Mus musculus: one gene and its partners. The protein of the gene in region 2 interacts with the protein of the main gene of each other region in a pairwise test. Links are inferred from orthologs where the notes say so. Each region holds a gene or a part of one and is shown on either strand. Other genes may lie near its edges.

Region 1 (4,294 bases), on a different chromosome or scaffold from region 2:
GGCCCCCTCCACCCTGGGTAAGGAACAGTAGCAGATTTGGAATCCAGACAATCCGTGCTTAGAATAGCAAGCAGCCCCTCTCCCTGTACTGCAATCACCATGGAAACTGGGGGGGAATCCAAGCTGAGGTGGGGGTGTCGGTCATAAAAAAGAAGAAGTAAGGGGGAGTTGGATAGCTGCCTGCTCCTTCAGCAAGCCACCCCCATCTCTTACTGAGGTGAGGTGGGGGCTGATCTACAGCAGCACTGAGGCAGGGGAGTGCTGCGGTACTGGGGGAGGGGGAGAGGAGCGGGTCTCCATTTTGGCTCCAAGCAATCCCCCTCCCCTAAGGCCAGCAAGTGAATAACAGAAACAGGTTCAACCCCAGACCAAAGGTAGTGAGGCTCTCCACCCTACACAGTCATTTCCTCTGTCCTTACAGGGACCTAGTTTAAAACAAGGCTAACTGATTGCCTTCCAGCCTTTTGAAATGAGGGGGTGGGGTGTGACCTAGGGTAAAAAGACCATCCTGGCTGGTTTTCCTTTATCTGGGTTGGGAGTGAAGGACTGTGGGGGTGGGGGTGGGGGCATCGAGGGTGGTAATGAGGAGAGATGAGCCGCAGCAAGGTTCAGGGAGGATTGGAAGGTGGGAGGATACAGCAGGAGAAAACCCATACATCACGCAGCCACGCTGCATTCTGGTCCGATCCAGCCAGCACAGCACAGTCCAGGATAACCAGAAACCCTGCCTCCCCTTTCCTGGAACTGCAACGGGGGACCGTGGACCCGCCTGAGGAATTTTGGTTGTGGGGAGAGCGAAAGAAATATCTATCGTTTTCTGTTTTCCCATTCCTTATCCCCGGTCTTCCCAGACCTTACAGTTGGAGAAGCAGCACAGGATCCTTCACAGAAGCTGGGTGGCACATCTACCACACATGCAGGAGAACCTTGGTGCTCTCCAGCTTCCCCAGAAACTCGGGCTGAGCACGTAGAAAATATCCTTTTTGGCAAAGCATGGATTTTTCTTTTCTTTCTCACATGGCTGGCACTTACTCTTTAAGGATGTCTGAGACAGACGGTTAAAAAGAGGGGCTGGGGTAGAGAAAGTGGGAAGGGCTCAGAAGCAAAGCTGAGCTCTAAAGGGCTTGGGAGCGGAGAGTAGGGAAAGCATTGCTTTCTACATTTCCAAAAGATAGACAGGGCATCTCCAACTCACCCCAGCCCAGGGAGAAATGATAAGAACTAGACCCCCATGTGCTCAACTGGACACTAACCCAGTGTGGACATGCCCTACATTTACTGCCCCCCCCCCAAAAAAAAGCATCGATGATGCATCGCTTCATCATCGTCTCTAAGCCGCAGCCTCTGAGTTGCGGCAAGCAGACAGCTTCGGCTTGAGATGCAGGAGAGTGATATTCCCTCCAAAGCCGGCGGGGCGGGAGGGTGGCTCTCTGCCCCGCCACAGCTGCCTCCAGCAGCACCCTCCTACCTCATTTAACTTTGCTCTGGAGAACTAGAGAGAGAGGGAGAGAGGAGGGAGAGGAAGGGAGAGGAGAGAGACAGAGACAGAGGAGACGTCTGGTACTCCCGGGGAGTTCTCAGGGCTCCCTTCACCTCACCATCCAGAGGTGAACTAGACCAGAGACCCAAGTGGCACCCAGGCTTGTTCACTGCCTTCCAGGATCCTCTAAAATCATCAAAGCCCCAACCAAAGAATTTTTTACATTCTTTCCTTCGCTTTCCTGGCAAGCACCTATCTTCAAAGGTGGATTCCCAGCCCCCCCCCCCTTAAAAAAGCAGCAACTGCGGCTAGCCAATGGTGGTAGGATGGGGCATTTGGGGGTACACTCTTACCTGAGGTGTCCCAGAGACTAAGCTCCACTCTCTGTTCCTCTGTCTCCAAACAGGCTGTGTAATTCTCAAACACGGTAGGCACATAGGTCTGCGAGGAGACAGGAAACACTCACACCCCGGCAGCAGCATGCCCTCAGAACCCCACACCAAGCGTTGGCTACACATGCGCCGAGAAACACCAAAGTGTCAGATGGCGAGAAGCCAGAGGAGGGGGAGCCATTGGGGACTGTAGAGGTATTGGCCTTCGCTCCCCAGCCTGGGACAAACCCCCTACATCCTAGCTAGTCTGAGACACATACATTCGCATTTTCCTCACATCTCTAAATGTGTGTCCCATTTTTCAGAGCCACAAGCCAGTTTTAACCTCTGTCTTCTGCCCTCTAGTCCTTTGGCACAGGTGAACAGGCAAAACAGCAGAAGCCTGCGCGGGGGGGGGGGGGGGGGTTGGGGAGGGCACCCTCACAGAGCCTTATAGGAGGGGCAGGCAGGTACTGCGTCAAGAATGAAGCCCAAGCTCTCGGGAGCCTCCAGGTCTCAGGGATGAAGGCAAGTGGGAGGGGATATGATGGGTAAAGAGGTGAGGAGGAGCCGACCGGGCGGCAGAAGTGGGTCAGGTCTCTAGGGAAGCAAGACAGGGCAGTCCTCCAGCCAGAAGGCAAGGCAGGGTGGGGCGGCCTGCGGGTGGTGGAGAGCGCTGTCCCGGACAGGTGGGGGATCGACCCCGGGACGGCAGGGAAGCTCACCTCGGGATAGCAGTCTTTCGCTAGCACCTGTAACATCGCCGTCTTCCCACACTGCACGTCTCCCACCAGGACGAGCTTACACCTGACCACCACTGGCTGCGGTGCCCGTCTCTCCTTCATGGCTGCAGCCTCGGAGGGACGTGGACTCGGGTTCAGGGAGGAGGAGGTCGCGCCTCAAGTGTCCGCACTAGCACACTAGCGCGGGTTCCCTGCCTGCCTGCCTCCGACTGAGGCGGAGGCTCGTAAGGCTCCGCTATAAGTCTCAGACTGATCCAATCACAAGAGGAGGCGGACTCTGTCCAGGCCAATCCCTAAGGTGGGATCCCCTGCTGCAGCCAATAGTAGGAGACTCCGAGTCAGCGCCCTCTTCCTCCCTTCCCTTTCTGTTAAAGCTGCACGGTGGCTTCCTCTTGGAAGGGGATTCCCACGCTTTTTGTGTTGCTGTTAGGAGGTCAGGAGGGGACTGGAAGTAAAACTTAGTGATCTCTGAGTGTCTATGAGTTAGTGTCAAGACCCACAAAGAGCTATAGAATCAGGCTGTCTGTCCCAGGAAGACAGCAGGACCTGCCTAAACTATGGACAGGTGGGTGGCATCTCTCGGGGGAGAGGGTGACTCCTTAATTTTATATAGTTCCTATTCACACTGGTTCCACTTCTGGGATCTCCTAATAGAAGTCTCTGCTGCCCCTCTTTTACAGCCCGACTCCCTTCCTCAGGAATCGCCTTCCCCAAAACAAACCAAGAAAACAAAACAAGACAAACAAAAAATAACTTGACCCAGAGATAGGCAAAGAAAACAAAGGAGGGCGTCTTTCAAGTAGGAACAGGAGAGAGAAAGACCAAACAAGCTGCTTTCTGCCAGCCAGGAGCCAGCTCATGCCAGGCCTGGCAAGCAAGAGTGAAGGTGTTTTGTTCTGTGGCCTGGCTTCAGTGTCCGAGATGAATCCAGGGCAGGTCTAGTTCCAGGCTGATAGCCACGGATTCTGACGCACTGATAGTGTCACCTAGTGAGAGTCCAGCCTGGATGCCAGGGCTGGGCCTCAGGGATTAGAAATTGAAAACCAATCATTGTAGACTGAGATAAACTACAAACTGCCGCCGACTGGCCCTAGCCTGCAAGCCTCCACGGCTTCTGCAGACCCCTCTACTAGACAGAGCTATGGAAGTACACAGCTCATATAAGCCACTGGCCACCAAGGAAGTCCCGTGAGGCCTCCAGAGAATTGGGGGAGGGGCAGTTTAGGGCAAACTTGAGAACAACCTAGGGTTCCCCTTACCCTGTTCTGTTGGTTTGGTTTCTTTCTTTCATTTTATTTTATTTTATTTTATTTTTTTTAGAGAACATCACACTGGAACTTGCCGTATATAGCCCATCTTCTTGCCTCAGGCCTCAGGCCTGAAATTCAGACAGAGAACACCAGCCCTGGCTCACGGTTGTCTTGAGGTCCCTTCTCGAACAACCCCAAGCTTTGCTCATAAGCCAGTCATTGCCACCCACCCAAGACCATTTTCCCTGAAATTAATAAGCACCTTTCAAAGGCTTCACAGGCCCTATGGACAGATCTAGTAAGACAGCCAGGCCCACTATAACGGAGAATGGACGTTATCTGGGAAATGTAGTCCAGCCAGTCTCCCTCTAGTCTACTCTTATGGTTCCCAGCTTCTCTGTAGGCTCACAGGCTGGGCAGGGATCCCCTCCATCCATCCACCCATTACTT
Region 2 (4,137 bases):
CTCCGGTCAAGCTTTCCCTGAAAGCCTGTTTCCTGAAGCACTCACATCATTACTTAAGTGGCTGATTCACACACACTCTCTCTTTCTTTTTGGTTTTTGAGACAGGGTTTTTCTGTGTGCCCTGGTTGTCCTGGAACTCGATTTGCAGACCAGGCTGGCCTCAGACTCACAGAGATCCATCTGCCTCTGCTTCCTGAGTGCTGGGACTAAAGGTGTGTGCCACCACATCTAGCTTTATAGTGTTTTCTATATTTGTCCATTAGCCTTTATCTCAACAGGTTCATGTCAAGAGTAAAAGTGACAAAATCCACAGTTTCCTGCTATATTCGTTTATCCCAAGCAGACAGGGAACTACAGAAGAGTCTGTTACTAAACTTCACTATGGAAAGCCACTGAGGGTTTATCCTGAATGTCAGTGTGTAAGGAGATACAGCCTTCTGTGTTTACAAAGCACAGCAGGGCGACTCACTTTCCAATCCCTGCCAGTTGCAGAGAGCTGTTTCTTCACTTCTCAACGCACCCTACTTGCTCACACTCAAAAACAAACCCCACAAAACCTCGGTATAGTTTTTACTTGAAGGGTTTTCCTTTTGCACCCAAAACTTCCTGGGTTGGTTTTTCCCCTTGGGGCCACAGAAACCCATGACCCCGTTTATGCTTCCAGTCTATCCGTTCACCACTGTTCACACAGTGGTACGTGGTTCTTGTGGTGTTGTTTTTGATTCATTCTTTTTTTGGAGTCAGCCTAGATTGGTCTTGAACACATGACAATCTCTTGCTTCAGTCACCAAGTGCTGGGGTTATAACCATGATTTAATCATGCCTTGTATGAATTCTAGAATTTACGTTCACCTTAGTTTCTAACCATAGCCAAGCAATTAGATATTGGAAGATGTGAAACAGGTCTTGAGACAATGCAACAGGTTGTTCAGAGAACCAGTTTAGGGAAGCCTAAACCTCCAGAGGCAGGAGCTGGGTAAATGATGGTTACATCCCACAAAGGGAGGCACTTAGGAATATTCCATATTGTACAGCAGAGATTAAGGTCAACAGAATGTAAAACTGGAATATATTTCATCTGCATTTTATGGTGACAAATAGTCCATCAAAACACACAGCTTCTAGCTGAAGGTGCTGGCCACACCCTGAGTTCTAACAGTTCCAGCACTCAGGAGGCAGAGACAGGTAGACAGCCTGGTCTACACATCAAGTTCTGGGTCAGCCAGAGCTACACTGTATGACCCTGTCTCCAAAATAAAACAAACGCTTCGAAGTTTTCTCTCTCTATATAAAGAGGTTGCAAAAGTCACAGTGTAGCTACAACAGGCCTGAAGCAATGGTTTCTTTTCCTCCTCTGGCTTCTCACTTTCTTCCTTTTTGAAGCAGGGTCTCCTATAACTAAGGCTGGTCTTGAACTCTATGAAACTCTGAGGATGACCTGAATTCTGGATCCCCCTGCTTCCATCTCCCAAGTACTGGGATCACAGGCATTCAACACCAAGTCCACCGAAACAACGAATTCTGATATCATATGGTGTCCTCAACACAATCAAGTAATTGTGAACAGCTTCACCATAATAAAGCGTTAACCTCAGCAATGCCAAAGATAATTTTGCCGGGAGTCGGTTCAAAACCAAAGTACCTCATGCATCTCACACACCTCCTATTTCTCATCTCGCTGGAAAGAGAACTTGAGATGTTAATGCTCCAAAGGCCAACAAAGTGTTAAGATGGGGTCCGTCTTTAATTTCTCTTTCCCCACCTCTCCACTACTCCAGCCCTATAAGAAGCCACAAGTGAGGAAGAAAAGTTGTGAAAACAAGACGGATGTGTGTGTGGTGGGGTGGGATGGGGTACATTATCCCCCACATACAAGGTCACTTGCTTGGAGTCACTTTCTCCTGCTCCCACCCTGGGCTTCCCGCCAAAGTCGCTCCTAGGCAGGCTAGGAGGCCAGCTTGCTGCACTCCCTCAGCCTCTGCGTGGGGACTGCAGCCCCCTTCTGGCCTCCCGGCCTTCAGGACCCTAATTTCAAATGGGAACTCTTCTCGCAGTAGCCAGGTCCCGGGGCTCCTCCACCTCCATCCTCCCCCCCGCCCCCCCCCCCCCCCAGGCTCCATCAACGTCCCCTTTCTCCCTCAGGGTGCCCCTGTGCCTGCCTCCCGTTCGCGGTCCCTCCCGGGGGCCCGGCACACAGTTCCTTTCCTGCCCCTTCTCGTAGCCCTTCTTCCCCGGTGCCCACCTGACGCCCCTGCCAAAGCCTGGCTCCTTAGAGCCACGGCCTCCTCCCAGCCCCGCCCCTGCTCCCGGGCGGATACAGTTTGAAGCCTCTCAGGATATCCCTGGCCCGCTCGTCCTTGGCTGACATGATGCGGCGCCTGCCGCCCGCGGCCCTCCCACGCTGGCTCCGCGGGGCCTCGCAGACGGTACCCAGGAACCGAGGACAGCCGCAGCCCGGCCGGACACCTCAGGTGAACAGCGGTGGCGGCCAGACCCGAACCGGCCTCTCCCTCCCCTCAGCTCCCGCTCCTGATCCCTTCTCCTTCCCTCTAGTCGTGGAGCTCCCGCCTTGAAACCAATGACAAGCCAGCCTTGGCGATTGGCATCTTGAGTAGCCAATAGCAACGCTCAGCGGCTTCGCTCGGGGACGGAGAGCGTCAGTGGGAAAGGCCCTCTTGGAGAGTCCCGGAGGACAGAATTTTCTTTCGTGTTGTTGCCTAGAGTTTGTCCCAGAGGAGCGATGGCTTGAAATCTTCAGAGGCGTTTGAGATGCCTGCTCTTGTTGCCGGGCACACTAGTGGTCTGAGACTATGGCAGGCTGCACTGTACAAGGTGGCAGAAACTACATTTCCCAGCATCCCAGAGAGCACAGGCGATCCCAGCGCACCATTAGAGGCCAGGGACTACAAGTCCCAGCATACTATGCGCTCCATCTTTTTAACTTGGGTTCCAGTGTGCCGAGCAGTGTGCACATATTTGAAATCCTCCTATGGGGTTGGTTTCTGAATCCTGTTACTTGAAACCCAGCAGGAAGGTCTTCTTTTACCCCGGAGACGTGACAACCCACCGACAGTTAACTTCTGTTTACATGGAACTCAGGAGTCTGCAAACCATGGTAAGACTGCAAACCACCAACAAAACCACATATTAAGCCACGAGAGATAACAGAACAAAATGACCTCCTCAAATAGTGTTAGTTTATTAGTCTGGAGTTCATTTTTACTTGTTTTGCAGGGTTTATGTTATATTTCTGCTTTGGACTGGGTGAGCTAAAGATTGTTTATACTCAATGTTAGTACAGGAAGACTTAAAAGATTTTGCCAATCCAATCTCTTTATCTTTTGTTTTTAAATATGAGGAAATAGAGACCCGGTGAGGCAGAGACTGGCCAGAGAGCACAGCAAATTGACACAGTTAAAATCTGGCTTTACATCTACTGACCTGTCATCTAGTATCTACACTACACTAGGGAGGTAATATTTTTAGAAGCATGGCAATGTGATTGTTTTTCTCCTTAATGAACAGTTTCTGAACTAGTGTTGAAACACCCAGAAAATAGGAAAGCATTTATTTCATGGATTTCCTGAAAGGAGCTGGTGTGACAGTCCTTTATCCTCAGACTAGATAGGTCTTGCTATTTTTATTTGCTTTTTTGACATTCAAGTTGACATTTAATGATTGTTTTTCCCCCAGAAAGTAGATAAAGTTGGTTTAACCCTCTGTTTCCTTGGAGACGCCTGTGTCCTTCCTCTGGCCTTCTTTCCTGTTCTTGTTCCCACTCCACCCATTTGATCACCCACCCATTTTGTTTGTTTTTCTTCCAAGTAACTCAACAAACCTTGTTTTGGTTTTTGGTTTTGGTTGGGTACTGAATTAAGTAAAAGATAGGCCACTGTTATTCAGAAGATACATAACTGATTAGGGAGATAAGGAGATTCAAGATGGAGTTGACAAGTGGCATAAAAGAAAAGATATCAGAATGCCACAGAGGATTACTTGTTGGCCTTTTAGTCAAGATCAAGTGGAGAATGCCTTAGAGGTTCTGGTGACGTGCCTTTAACAGCTGGCAAAACTTCATGGTGGAAATGACATTTGAACTTAAAGCAGTGGTTCTCAAACTGTGGGTCAAAAATCCCT
Region 3 (4,171 bases), on a different chromosome or scaffold from region 2:
GTGCCGGGACGGGCACAAAGGACATGACTGACTGCAGGCGGGGGGGATTGGCAGAATTGGGGGAGCAAGGACATCAGAGTGGATATGAAGTTCATCTGGCTAGCTGAGGTCACTGCCCCAGACGTCTCGCTGGTCCCTGCCTCACCTGGTGTCAGGACAGCACACATTTGCAGCTCATGCAGCCAGGACCACTCTCATCGGGTGGGTTCAGTTTCCGCAATTTATGCTGCCGAATCTCACGGACTAGTGTATAGAAGGCATCCTCCACGCCCTGGGGACAGAGGGACTAGATCAGAGAGGACTCTGGGGAGAAAAGGGGTGCTGTCTGGGTAAGAAACTCCCTGCCTAGATCAGGTCACACCCCAACGCTGGAGGCTCCCTTCCTCAGCTGCAAAACCAACACAAATAGGGAGCTGGGCCCTGGCCATCCAAAAGGCACAGGCCACTCTCCTGAAATAGGGTTCACTCCTGAGTATCACTCAAAGTCAGAGCCACTTAACTCAGGACTCTCCCAGACCCCCAGTACGTCTCAAGTTGAACAGCCTAACAACACTGAAGGGCTTAAAACTAGCCAGTATCCACAGGACACTGGGGACAAGAAGAACTAAGGCCCCTGGGTCGCCGCTCCGGCCTGGCTCAGGGCAGCTCTCTCCAGGGACCCCATCCTGCCCTAGAGCTATGTGAACTCAGAACTGCAGGGCATAAGCCCAGACCCTGGCCCTTGCCTCCCTCACAGCCCTGCGGTCTGGGAGACTTACAGCTTGAGGGCCGCTGGGTCACATGGGTCCCGGGGGAGGGGGGATCCCAGAGGGTCCCGGAGCTGGAGCCAGAGCGGCTGCCCTGTGTTGAGGGAGAGCGGCAATGAGCTCTGCTCCCTGGCTGGGGTGGGGTGCGGTAAATCCTTGACTAGCTGTGGAGAGGGAAACAGGCTCACCTGCCGGGTCTTGGCTGATGTTTCAATGTAGGGGATGCCATAGCTGCGAGCAAGGTCCTGGGCCTGCCGAGACTCAACAGTGCGAGCAGCCAGGTCACACTTGTTGCCCACCAGCACCATTGGCACATCATCTGAATCTTTCACCCGCTTGATCTGCTCCCTGGAGGGGGATGGGGTGGATATGAGCCAGCTAGCAGGCTGCAGGCATGACTGTGTCCAGGACATTCAAAAAAAGACATAAAGCCTCAGTGTGCACACGGAACCTTCCTCACGTGTGCCACGGGCTCACGGGCTAGCCATAGGTGGCTCACCTGTACTGATGGATGTCCTCGAAGGACTTGGTGTTGTTGATGGCAAATACACAGAGGAAGCCCTCCCCTGTGCGCATGTACTGGTCCCGCATGGCACTATACTCTTCTTGACCTGCTGTGTCTAAGATGTCCAGTAGACATGTCTCCCCATCAATGACCACCTGTTTCCGGTAGGAGTCCTGCAAAACAACACGGCTTAGTGGGGGTGGGGGGTGGGGGTGGGGTCTCACCTCTCCTCAGACCAGAGAATCCACAGAACCAGCCTACACCCTTGCACCTCTCATACCCTGATGGATCATACCCCATAACACCTACAAGACCTGGGCTGTTTGGTCATTTACCCATGACCACTGCCACAGCCCACCTCTGGCAGGTAGGCAGAGCTCACCTCTATAGTGGGATCATACTCGTCCACAAAGTGGTTCTGGATCAGCTGGATGGTCAGGGCACTCTTTCCCACGCCTCCAGCGCCCACCACCACAAGCTTGTATTCTGTCATAGCTTCTACAGCGGCTGCCAATCCAGGAGCTCCTGCCCCACCTGCCAATGAGAAGCACACTTAGCCAAGGCCCTTGCCACTTGAGACGGCTAATAGATGCCTGACCCAAGGGCCCTCTCCAGCATTGAGCAGGCAGGCCTGCCAGTGGCCCAGTTGATCACCTGTGGCACCTTCAGCTTGAAAAGGGAGGACCCCACCCCCACCCCCCAACCTCCTCAAACAGCACTTAATGGCTGTGTGAGGAAGCAGGGAGAGGCCCCCAAGGCAGGGCTGACAGCTGAGAGCTTCTCCCAACCACGCACCCAAATTAGAAGTCGCTAGGTAGGCAGAAACCCTCAACTGGAGGCGCCTGAGGGCTGAGGCCACCCCCCAAAAAACAGGTCCTGCCACGGCGGCCTCGGCGTGCCCAGGCAGGCCAATGCCAGCCTACAACCGGCTCTGGCCCGCCGGCATGTGGGTGCAACCTACAACTATTTACTGAGCGCCTACTGCATGCCAGGCGCGGTCCCGGCAGCGGGGGGAGGGTGGCTGGAGAAGGACCCTGCCCTCCACTAAGACAAACCTTCCACAAGGGGCCAGGGAGCTTTCACAGAGGGGGGGAAAAACGGCTGAGGGTGTGGGAAGCAGGTGACTACAGGAACGCGAGGGATGGCTGGGAGCAGAAGGCCCTGGTTGGGGCCCAACGCGGGTGTCCTTGTGGCCCCGAGGCCCGAGCGTGATGGCCGCGGGGCGCAGAGTCTCCGGAGGCCCGGGCGGCGCCTCGCTGGGAGGACGGCCACAGGCAGAGCGAGTCCGGCCGCAGAGGCGGGCAGCCGGACGCTAGGCACGCTGCCGGGCCGAGAGGAGCAAGGAAGCACCGATCACCTGCGCCCCGCGCCCCACCCCGTGCCCGCACTCACCGCTTGCTGGCGCGACTGCCCCCGGGGCCGGGGCCGGGGCCGGGGCAGGGCGGGGGCGCGGACGGGCGCCGGCTGGGCCCGCGCATGAGCTCCGTCCGCGGCGGGTGCGGCTCGGGCTGCGGGCGCCGGGAGCGGACGGCGGGGACTTGGCCGGGCCCGCGCTCGCCCCGCCCCGCTCCGCCCCACGCCCGTCCGTCAACTCGAGGCGGCCCGTGATTGGTCGAACTCCTCCGCACCGCGACCTGTTGTGGTTGGCTGAGCAACCCATCCGTCAGAAGCCGAAGCTGGGCGGGGCTTCCTGGAGCCGCGGGGAAGGCAGTGCCGGAACTTGGGTCCTGCACTCAACAGTGATGTCTAGTGCCTAGGTGCAGAAGAGACAGACCGAGACCGTGCTTACGAGCCCGGGATTTCTCCGGAGAGAAACTGGTGCACGCTCGGGTTGCGTTGAGGACCTACTACAGAGCCTCCACCCTGCAGCCTCACCAAAGGCCCAAAGGCCCACGAGTGGAAAGGTCATCCCGACCGGGTATTGGTGTCGGGGACAGTCAGCACCGCGGACGCGGAATAACAGAGGAAGACAGAGTTCGCCGGAACCCCTAGCTGCCTGTTCTCGTAGGTCGAGGTGGAGCAAAGGCTCCATCCTGGGGCAGCGTCGGCCCATCACACCGCGCTCTTCGTGTTTTGGAGAAGACCCCCCTACCGCTCTCAAACTCGAGGTCCCAACACTGCAGAAGCTCATACTGCGTCCATTTGAAGAACGACCCCGAAAGTCAGAAAAGTTGGTATTGGGGCGAAATGAAGTGTTCCACCCACTCAAGCAAGTAGGGTACATCTGTGTCAGACGCAAATGACATGTTTTCAACACTTTTTGAAATTTCAAAGAAACGAATAAGCACGTCCTCAGAAAAACTCAGGCTTTTACTCAGGTCGTGCAGGCCTGGGGTTGCACGCTCACCCCGGTCGCCGCCCGGGGTGCAAGCTCGGCTTGTTCTATTCATCTAGCAGGCAGATAACCGAGAGCTGGCCAGAAGCCTCTCACGGACGGCTCTCTGAACCACCGTGAGTGCCTTCACTGCGTTCAGCCGTCCGGCTTGTCTCTTACTCTAGGGAGCATTTCCACCGGATCTGCCGCGTGTCCCGGCAACCGTTGCTAGGGGGCGGGGCTCATCTTACCGAAGCCCCGGATGCCCGCGGCTCACGAATATTTGGGTATTCAAATGAGCCCCGCCCCCGTTGCCATGGCGCCAGGCCTGCAACCCCATCGCGGTGGTAAAAATAATAATTAAAAAAAAAAGCCCTCACCTGAGAGAGCGACCGCCGCGGTGGAGGGGCCTAGTGCTGCGCCCCAAGTCTTGGGCACTCTGGCCCACCCCTCAGGTGAGAGCCTAGCACCTCCTCTCCATGTCCTTTGTGCTAGGGGGATCCTGGGCGACCCACGTCTGTGGGACAAGACATACAGGACAGAGTAAGCAATAAGTCATGAAGTGCAGTGGAAGGGGATCACTCTAACTAGAGAAATGTATCTGGG

Evidence for each region.
Region 1: the proteins of Pde6d (region 2) and Rnd1 interact in a two-hybrid assay, tested with the Homo sapiens proteins (2 studies listed by BioGRID). The link is inferred for Mus musculus from reciprocal best matches to the Homo sapiens genes PDE6D and RND1.
Region 3: the proteins of Pde6d (region 2) and Hras interact in a two-hybrid assay, tested with the Homo sapiens proteins (2 studies listed by BioGRID). The link is inferred for Mus musculus from reciprocal best matches to the Homo sapiens genes PDE6D and HRAS.

Annotation. Positions count from the first base shown.
Region 1 is NC_000081.6:98,674,654-98,678,947, forward strand, and holds the start of Rnd1 (rho-related GTP-binding protein Rho6), read right to left. Parts: upstream 2,809-4,294; 5' UTR 2,697-2,808; coding exon 2,577-2,696; intron 1,922-2,576; coding exon 1,834-1,921; intron 1-1,833. UniProt on the Homo sapiens protein: Lacks intrinsic GTPase activity. Has a low affinity for GDP, and constitutively binds GTP. Controls rearrangements of the actin cytoskeleton. Induces the Rac-dependent neuritic process formation in part by disruption of the cortical actin filaments.
Region 2 is NC_000067.6:86,579,982-86,584,118, forward strand, and holds the start of Pde6d (retinal rod rhodopsin-sensitive cGMP 3',5'-cyclic phosphodiesterase subunit delta), read right to left. Parts: upstream 2,805-4,137; 5' UTR 2,369-2,804; coding exon 2,319-2,368; intron 1-2,318. UniProt on the Homo sapiens protein: Promotes the release of prenylated target proteins from cellular membranes. Modulates the activity of prenylated or palmitoylated Ras family members by regulating their subcellular location.
Region 3 is NC_000073.6:141,191,197-141,195,367, forward strand, and holds the start of Hras (GTPase HRas), read right to left. Parts: upstream 2,809-4,171; 5' UTR 2,644-2,808; intron 2,613-2,643; exon of another isoform or gene 2,307-2,612; intron 1,786-2,306; 5' UTR 1,745-1,785; coding exon 1,634-1,744; intron 1,425-1,633; coding exon 1,246-1,424; intron 1,145-1,245; exon of another isoform or gene 1,095-1,144; coding exon 935-1,094; intron 841-934; coding exon of another isoform or gene 759-840; intron 272-758; coding exon 152-271; 3' UTR 1-151. UniProt on the Homo sapiens protein: Involved in the activation of Ras protein signal transduction. Ras proteins bind GDP/GTP and possess intrinsic GTPase activity.